Schizosaccharomyces pombe: one gene and its partner. Changing the gene in region 1 together with any one later gene gives a genetic interaction. Each region holds a gene or a part of one and is shown in the gene's direction. Other genes may lie near its edges.

Evidence for each region.
Region 2: of sos7 (region 1) and mis13, extra expression of one rescues a mutant of the other (dosage rescue), as found in Schizosaccharomyces pombe (one study listed by BioGRID).

What each region holds. Positions count from the first base shown.
Region 1 is NC_003424.3:1,274,518-1,279,822, forward strand, and holds sos7 (protein sos7), read left to right. Parts: upstream 1-1,976; 5' UTR 1,977-2,155; coding exon 2,156-2,329; exon of another isoform or gene 2,330-2,409; intron 2,410-2,419; coding exon 2,420-2,469; intron 2,470-2,523; coding exon 2,524-2,591; intron 2,592-2,602; exon of another isoform or gene 2,603-2,651; coding exon 2,652-2,753; exon of another isoform or gene 2,754-2,795; coding exon 2,796-2,902; exon of another isoform or gene 2,903-2,940; coding exon 2,941-3,234; 3' UTR 3,235-3,267; coding exon of another isoform or gene 3,268-3,575; 3' UTR 3,576-3,622; coding exon of another isoform or gene 3,623-4,457; 3' UTR 4,458-4,483; downstream 4,484-5,305. Other genes in the region: rpl3703 (60S ribosomal protein eL37), read left to right, coding at 1,018-1,252, 1,320-1,354; tRNA-splicing endonuclease catalytic subunit Sen2, read right to left, coding at 3,268-3,575, 3,623-4,457; eos1 (N-glycosylation protein), read left to right, coding at 5,056-5,262, 5,303-5,305.
Region 2 is NC_003423.3:1,153,524-1,157,561, reverse strand, and holds mis13 (MIS12/MIND complex Mis13/Dsn1), read left to right. Parts: upstream 1-1,940; 5' UTR 1,941-1,960; coding exon 1,961-2,950; 3' UTR 2,951-3,258; downstream 3,259-4,038. Other genes in the region: ade7 (phosphoribosylaminoimidazolesuccinocarboxamide synthase), read right to left, coding at 1-444; SPOM_SPBC409.08 (spermine family transporter), read right to left, coding at 3,822-4,038. UniProt on the Schizosaccharomyces pombe protein: Acts as a component of the NMS (Ndc80-MIND-Spc7) super complex which has a role in kinetochore function during late meiotic prophase and throughout the mitotic cell cycle.

The sequences.
Region 1 (5,305 bases):
GGAGGTTAAAGTTGAAGGCAGAAGACAGGCATGTATGGAATAGTGTGTAAACTTTGTTACTACGAAACGATTAATCGGTGCTAAGCTAGATATAAGTTTCTGACGAAAATTAATTGTAGTAATTACAATAAGTAAATATAATTCTAAAGTTTTGATAAAAGCTATAACGCTAATATTGCGTAAACAATTGGATGAAACGAAAACACCCTGGTATAGTAAAGTTGATTTGTTTCATAAATTTTGTATATGTTATAAACAAAACTTTATGTACTTGAAATTATTTTTTATAAAGTGAGAACGCCCAGTTGTTCATTAAAGTACTGCTTGGACATATTTGAACAGAGCTGGAGTACCTAATTTCAATAATTCTTTATTTTTGAAACACTAAAAGTTTTAGAGATCAAAATAGCAATTGAAAAGTATTTTTTTTTTTATTAAAAAAAAAATTTATTAAATTTTCCTTTGTTGGAACATATTTTAGAACATGGGAGTGCCAGTTAAAACTAAAAATAATATTGTTTTGAAAAACTACATCTTAAAGTAAATGATCATCGAATGTGCTGTCAGTACTACGACAAACAGACCTCCGATATAAACCGACACTTTAAGTACTTAAGTTAATTATTATTCTTAGCATCGTATAGATACTGTCAAAATTTTTTGTAAAATATAAAAGTTCAAAGTACTAAAGCATCACCATCATGCATCAAATAATAACGCCCTAGATATTTGTTCACTAAATATGTAAACAAAAGATGATTGAAGTACAGTAACAATAGACGAGCTATGAGAGTAGTGAGGTTTGTTTTAAATACCTTATTGTGCTAATACTGAAACACATTGTAATCTTATCGCGCATTTTATCAATAAAGTAGTGTAGTGTGCACAACTTATACGCTACTTTGTTTGGTAGTCGTGACTGTCTTTCTCGAGGTTTTGCTAATTCATCGTACACATTAAAATCTATCAGTAACCTTCTGCCATCGGCCCTAATAGTTTCGAGAAGCAGTTTCAAAAATGACTAAGGGTACTCAATCATTCGGTATGAGACATAACAAGTCTCATACCATTTGCCGTCGTTGTGGAAAGCGTTCTTTCCACATTCAAAAGAGCACCTGCGCATGCTGTGGTTATCCCGCTGCCAAGACTCGTAGTTACAACTGGGGTGCTAAGGCCAAGAGAAGAAGAACTACTGGCACTGGCCGTATGAGCTATTTGAAGAAGGTTCATCGCAGCTTTAAGAACGGATTCCGTAAGTAATTGCACGATCGGTGGAGATCCTGTTGTATTTTTCGTTTATTTATTAACATTTTATTTAGGTGCTGGCAAGCCTACTTCCGCTGCTACTGCTTAGGTATTGCATTAATCGATTTATTCTCGAAGGAGGTTCATTTCTTTCAATGAGTGAAGTGCGTAGTAATGTTAAATGTATTCATCGTATGCTTATAATGTAATTTAAGTTCAGTAAAAATTGGCTTTTTTGTACCGACTTTGCCTTGTATTGATACAAACGTGATAAATCTTTTTACGTCTTAAAAATAGTCTATTACAGGATATTTGTGGTGTTTCCAGCACCACAAATACTAAAAACCGTGGCAGCAGACATGAAAGGATTTTACGTGCAAAAATAAATCACTTCACTCGTGTTATTTTGGGTGTTTTAATTTCTCATTTTTATCTCTTCCCAATACTTGAAATATAAGCTGGCCAAAGAATGCTGGTAGTACAGTTTGTTTGTGTGATTTTTTCTAGAATTTAAACAATTATATTTGCATTCCATTCCGATATTTTTCACGAAGCATTGTCAATCGGTATTTTAACTGGTAATAAATTTGATACTATGGTGGTAAAAGATAAAAGATAATAATAATTGTTATTTTTAGTATAATATATTACCGTTAAGCTGTTTATTTTGATAAAACATTTTGGTTGTTTAAGTAATTTTAATAATGAATCGTGTTTAATTAATTTATCTCAGAACAAATAATGGTTTCCACTGTTTCATTCTTTTAATGACTCAATTCTGCAAAATATTCAGCAAATTTTATTTATTTATTTATTAGAATTTGGTTTATTAGACTGCAAAAGCTTAAGCATATTCTGATTCCCTGATTTCTTATTACAAAACAATTTCGAGGTTACATCGACGATACCAATGGATCAAAATAAATCGACACAGGCAACTGGAAATGGAAAGAAGACAGAGGAAATAAATGAATTGCTTGAAAGTTTTATAAAAGAAGGTCCTAAATTACTTTGGGGGTCGACGAATTTGAAATACGAAGACCAAATAAGTCGTTCGTCAGAACATGAACTTCAGCAATATAGGGTTCGTGAATTTCTAAAAAAGCATGAGTTTATATTTTATAATTTTTTAAAGATGTCCGTGAAAAAGAAATTGTACTAATTACTCGATTAGGAACTTTTTACTCGATTGAAGTTTTCTTATATCGAGCAAGGGACGAAGGAGTACGTCGCAGATTATTTTTACAAGTTTTAAATATGTATTAACAATTTGAAAAGGAGATATTTAAGAGCCATACTGGATGACCCACCTATGCTCGTTGAAGCGGAAGACAATGAAAAATTAGGTATAATATATATTGAATTTTATTTCTGCAGACTTTTATTTTTACTAATGAGACTTAAAGAAACGACAAATTCTTCTCTTAAGGGGAGGCTTAAATCCGAAAAAAGAGAAGTTGATTTGCTCACAGAAGAGTTAAAGACAACGTCTAGGGAATTATCTTCTAGTATGTTAACTGGAATTTTTTTTACTTATTGACATCTTTAAGATTATGAATCAGTGATGGAAGAGTGCAAAAACACAAAGTCTACACTCTCCAAGCTCGAAAGTCTGGAAAGTGAATTGTTAAAACTACAACAAGATTCTTCAACAAAGGTAATAAATGTTTGGATTATAAGATGCTAAACTTCTAGACTCCCATTTTACCAGAGGTTGAAGCAGCTATTCATGACCTCGAAAGCGAATTAAACATCACTAATGAATCCATAGAAACTATCGATGGGAAGATAGACAATGATGAAAAATACTTTATACAACTAACCAAAAACCTTTCTTTACTTGAAAAGGAATATAAAATAGCTTCTGAGAGGTCTAATCAAATTAAAGCAGCAATCCACACTAGAACGCCCGATGCTGACGCAAAAAAACAAGTGCAAAATTGGTATACCTCGATGCTTGAAATTTATGATCAACTTCTTCAAAAATAAATAAAAAACCAATTTTAGTAATAATGTATGACACTAATCTCTATTCCTGCTAGGAACCCAGCGCCTTAAGGTTACACATCGAATTAAATATTGTCGAAGTACAGACTCTGCCCAATCCCATTCATTCATTGAGGCTTGATTTTTCCATATTTTATTAAAGTCTTCAATGCTAGGACATTGAACATAGCATAATATTAGGCTCTTTTTCACTTGCGCAATTACCCGATTTAGACAATGAACTTCATGCCATTGCATGTTATATTTTTGTTTGTTTCCAACACATGGAATTAGCAAAATAGCAAACTCGGCATGGCTGAAAACTGGACCCTTTTTGTACAATACTATTTCTTGTTAAAAAAATCTGAAGCGATGTATATAATAAACTTACAAAAATCCACCGAAAATTTGGTTCCGTTTTTTACAACCCAACCTTGCTGACGAAAGTAGAAATAAGCAGCCAATTCAGTTAAAAATTTGTTGTCCGGCTCAATAATAGGGTCTTCATGGCTTTGCTGTAAAGAATAATCATGAGTAAGGGCAACTGAATTAGCAACTATGTTGGCAAAAAGCTTTAAAATAGGTAAAAGTTCAAAATTAGGGTTTTCGTAGTTGATTCGAAGGACTCCCAAAGAAGCTAAAAAAAAGGCTTCCGGAAATGTTAGCTGTAGGTGCTCAACATTAGGCACTGAAGTAATATGGTATGGATTTTCGGAAACTCGGGAAAAGTCTTTAAGAGATTTCGTTAAATACTCAGGAAGTTCTGCATCTTCTTCTAAAGATGCTGGAATCGGCTTGCCATTTTCTAATAGTAATTGCCTCTCACGAGCACGATTTTCCCTATAAGCTCTTTGTGCTTTAAATTGTTTTCGCTGAAATCTCCTACGCGCGGTAACTTCCTCAGCTACAAGGTCTTCATCAAATCCAAGAAGTCCCAGCGATCGCTTAGTTCGTGTATGCCAAGTTGGCTCGCTACGAGACAAATTTCCTTTTCCAAAAAAACCTGATGTCCAAAATTTTTTAATAGCTTCACTATCTGTTACAACACAGCTGAGGTCACTTTCATGAAGCTGACATTGCCATTGTACTTGCCTGGGTGTCTTTCTAAATAGGTACCGATATATATATGGTATCCAGGTTAAAGGATTAGTAAGAATAATAGGAGGAAGAGGATAAGCTAAAGAAATAGGGAGCGCATCCTTATAAACTTCATGATTTTTCGACATTTTTTGTGACAGTAAAAGTAGTAACACATTAAATACTAAATTTATATTAGCACATAAATTAGAGAAAAAGTATGTTTGTTTCTCTTATTTGCAGACTGTTCGAGTTACAGATGGCATACATCCAAGAATTGGGTTCAGAACTAGCAATTACTGCAACTACCCTAATTTGGTGGTGATAAATATTTACAATTCTTTAGCTTTCTTTGATTTACACATACCGGGATAGAAATTCTAAAAAAACAGTATACAGGAAGCATTAAATTTAAATGCTTTTGCATAAATAAAACAATTTCTGTATAAAAAAAAACACTTTATTGACATACTAGAGGGCGTTATTCTTAAATTTTTTGTTCCTAAGCCTACTCGTGTTTTTTCTGTTTGTACAAATACTTATACCTTTTGTTCTAAAAGGAATTTAATATTAAGAATCGGTTTCATAAGAAGTTATACACAATTCGGATTTACTATTCTTTTGTTTCAGCTAAACGACTTAAAAGAGCAATTGAATCCTTGGTTTATGGTTTTCACTTATGTTTTATCTCAACTGTTCAGTCAATTTTCATTTCTTAAATTTTTTTCCTTTTTTTAACACTCCTTAATGAAACAGTACTTGAACACAGTTATTTCCAACCCTAGACCAGCACAAGCGTTGGGAATCAATCAACCATTTGTAGTATTTTGCTTTATTACATCTCGTGCTCTTTCATTTGTACCTGCGATTTACTGGTGCTTCAAATGTTTACATCTAGCTTTTGTTGCTGACAAGTTCAAATGGCTCCCATTAACATCGGCCCTATGGACTCTGGTAATAACTCGTGGATAATGCATAATACTAATTTTTATAGGTA
Region 2 (4,038 bases), on another chromosome or scaffold:
GAAGGCCTCTGCCTCTTTCATTCCTGTAGGTACGTTAAGGCCATGAACAGTCCCTTGCTTTTGATATTCCTTCCAAGCACTTCCAGTGATATAGCCACGAACAATAGCTTCGATAGGAAGAATCTTGTATTTCTTAACGAGCATGGATCTATCCTTTAACTCTTCATGCTTCGTGATAACAGGAGGTAATTCTTCCCACCTAGAAGTAATCAAATGAGTTTGGACATGAGGTTTTAAAACATCAAACCAAAATTCTGAAATTTTTGTCAAAACCTTTCCCTTCTCAGGGATGCCGTTCTCCATGATAAAATCATAGGCGCTTATTCTGTCTGTTGCTACGAACAAAAGATCATCGGGAAATTCTACACACTCATACAGGTCTCTGACTTTGCCGGTAGCAATTTTAGTGAATGGAGCATCCAACGAAGTTTTTAATAATGCCATTTGAAATGAACTTGATGTAGAAATGAAGGTTTAAACTATTCCACTTGAAGACAATTAGCTTTTGGTATAAAAATAACAAAGTATTTAAAGAAAATCCGTGTGATCTCTTTTCATTTCGTTTTAATATGCTTCTTCTGTATGAGGTCTATATAGTATAACATAGAACATCGATTAAAAATTTCAGAGAAACAAAAGCAATTACAATTATCAAAAAGGATACTATTACATAACATACCACTTAGAATTGGCTCCAAAAAACCCTGGTTTCAATGAATCCAGTTAACTCTAACTTTCGATGTAGTAGAAAGGAAAGATACAAGAGAGATGAGACAGATCGTCGTAGATCTTGGCAATACACTGAGACAGATTAAGAACAGATAATCAGTAAAGATTCTTTTCAATTATAAAGAATTTAAAAATTCCGAAATAAATTCGTATTTGAGGATGATGGCAACCTAAGTAAGTGCTCGAAAAGTAAGTTGTACAGGACATGCTGTGGTTATAAATTCCATGTTTAATTAAAATAAATAAAACAAATAAATTAATAATTATAATAAGAAAACTATTACTTCACTTAAGTTAAAAAGAGCTTTAAACACCGACTACTGTTGCCTTTTTGACTGCAGAATATTTTGAAACAACTTTATATAGGAAGTGTTTTAAGAGTAGGATAATTCAAACTTTTAATTCTTAAAACTATACTGGATCCTTAAAGTTCTGGCTTGTCTGCAAAGCCATGTAATCTAAAATTGGGTACTTTCTGTAAATAATATGCAGCGATTTAAAATCAACAATAACCAGCTAAGTCTGAAAATTACTACAATTTAGATTTTGTACATATAGAATACTCGAATATTTTTCATTATACTTATATTTGATTATTCATCTTATTTATCGTCGCTATATTTTTCAACAATTATGATAAAGTACAAGCTCAATCCTGGCAGCTCATGGACATCTTGACTATTTGTCAAAAACTGTAAACAGTTTTAATGGTAATAATATCCACATTTTGTAATTTGCATAACTTTTCAGCTTAGCATTTCATGTCGCATTCCTCAATTATATATATATATATATATATATATTACATAAACAGTAAACTTGATATAGTATAAGAAGAGGTCTTATGAATTTATAAGGGGAATTAACCAACCATTCAATGGATTATGTTAAAATTATTATTCTTATTATTTTACAGCAGAAAAAAGGATATATATTTTTGTTTTTGCAAGTTCGAAGATAATCTAGCAATTAAACAAATATTTTATACCAAGTTGTAACAAGTGTATCTCCAAAAAGAAAGGAATACTTAACAGTAAAAAAGAATTTAATCATTATTTATTTTTTTATTTATTCTCTACATGAATATACTTTGCTTTGATGAATTTTCAATGCTCAATTGTAAGGCCGACTTATAACGCGCTCGCTATACTTTGTTAGGTTACCTAGTGTAAACAATGAGTAAGGTAGTCTTTGCAATCCTGACTCGACTTGACCCTAACCAGCATCCATTATGAAACGAAAGCCTGAAGAGCAGGAAGGATTTGTATTCGTTAGGAAGGGTAAAGAAAAAGCTGGTTCTAAAAGAAGGAAATCATCTGTGGAGGATGATCCAGATACCTCCCAAACCGATGGGTTAGTTGAGCTACCCGTGTCTGATACACCAATTGTGAAGCGAAACAAAGAACTTCGCAAGGGTAAAGGAAGAAGGAGTAGTCTTGACCAACGGGGTAAGCGTGCTAGTAGCATTGGTACTGGATTTGAAGCTTTACCACATGCAGATGTTCCATCGCATGAATACTATCGCCATATATCCAAAGACTTATCCGAACCTTTACGTATCAAACAACTTCTCCTTTGGGCTTCTTCAAAGGCCTTAGAAGAGCAAAGAAAAAAATACGGTGAAACGGAGGAAGCCAGTGAGGCAGCTATTGCTAGATCAATAGTTCAAGAAGTTCTTAACGAATTATTGGCTAATAAAGTTAGTGTTAGTTGGTATCAAAGACCACCTGATGCTGTAATTCCTAATAAACCTCATCCTCAAAATCTCAAAAATGCTCAGCTAGTGGACGAACTGTCGGCAAAGCTTACCCAACTCCATAATGAAGAAGCTGCATGGCGGGCTGTTGCTGCTAATTCCGTCAGTTCAGATAAATCAATTTTATCTTTTAAAAAAGCTGTAGAATCCATAGATTCTAAACAAGACCTTGATAAACAGGACTCTCCATTACCCCCAGATGATGCACCAGAACTTCCTAATATAAGTAAGCTGAAACCAAAATTCCACACTCTCCTGGACATGCTTGCTGAAAATATTCATACCTTGCATTCTTTGACTAACGCTGGACCTGAAGTCCGATCATCATATGGTCGCCTTGCTGCCCAGGATTTCATAGCCCATCGTAAAAGTTTGTTGTCCTTCTCCAAATATGTGGATACTATGAATTTATTAAGGCTTTTATCAGAAGCTTCCTATAAATCTTCCTCAAACGAATCAGTTTAAAATTGGATTAATCTGATACTGTTATGCCCAAATTTTTACTTATTTTTACGTTAATTTTATGTCTTTTTGCGTGCCATTGCTGCTAATTAACTAATAATGAAGGTGTGCAAACCAGCTGGACTGTGTTTGAAAATTCATGTTATACGTTATTTCAAAGGAACTCCTATAGTAGTAGCGCGCACTCACATTACTATCTACACTCAATGTACGATACATAACTGCTACTATTCACCCAATATTTAGAATTTATCAAAGGTTTCATAGTTAATTAATTTGAAATATTTGAGAAATAAATAGCTTTATCTCTAAAGTCTATATTCTATAATTAAATTTTAAAAAGCGAGAGCAGACATCGTCGCAGGTTTCGAAACATGTAACGTGTAATTAACAATAGCTTTATGATAACCAGAATACACGTGGTAAATTCCGTCATAATAGTAACGTAAAACTTTCAAACACAAAACCGCATACATGAAATTAAAAAAAAACCACGATTTCTATGAAGCTTGGACATTATTTAAATATTAAGGCAGCTTCTCAAACGCAACGGTGCACCAATATTGGAGACAAATTCAAGAAATCCCAAACCCAAACTGAAACTGTGGGGACATGAGCTAAAGAATTTTAAAAAATTTTAGCAATGGATAGGTGGAAGCATGCTTAAGGAACATATCTAAGTTCACTTATGGAATGATCCCTGAGGCGAAAAAAGCAAAGCAGCAAATTCTGACCGCTTTACGAAGCCAAGATTGTTGGCATATCTTTTAAAAAAGTGGGATAGCCAACTGAAATAATAGAGGCTTTAAATTCCTTGCATGTACACAACGCAAACCAAATGCATAACGAAAAAAAAGACACAAAACAAGCTGTTTTAAACAATAGCGGCCTTGGATCTAGCCCGAATCTTATCACCAAACAAGTAAAAGGTGAAAGGAATGGGAATAGCGGCAACGGCAACCATACCCAACAAAAAGAAGGCCCATTGACGAGTCATACCATCCATCATATAATCAATGAAAAGAGGGAAAGCGGCACCACCTGCGGAACGAACCATTGTTTTAGCAGCCAATGCTGACGCACAGTAATTT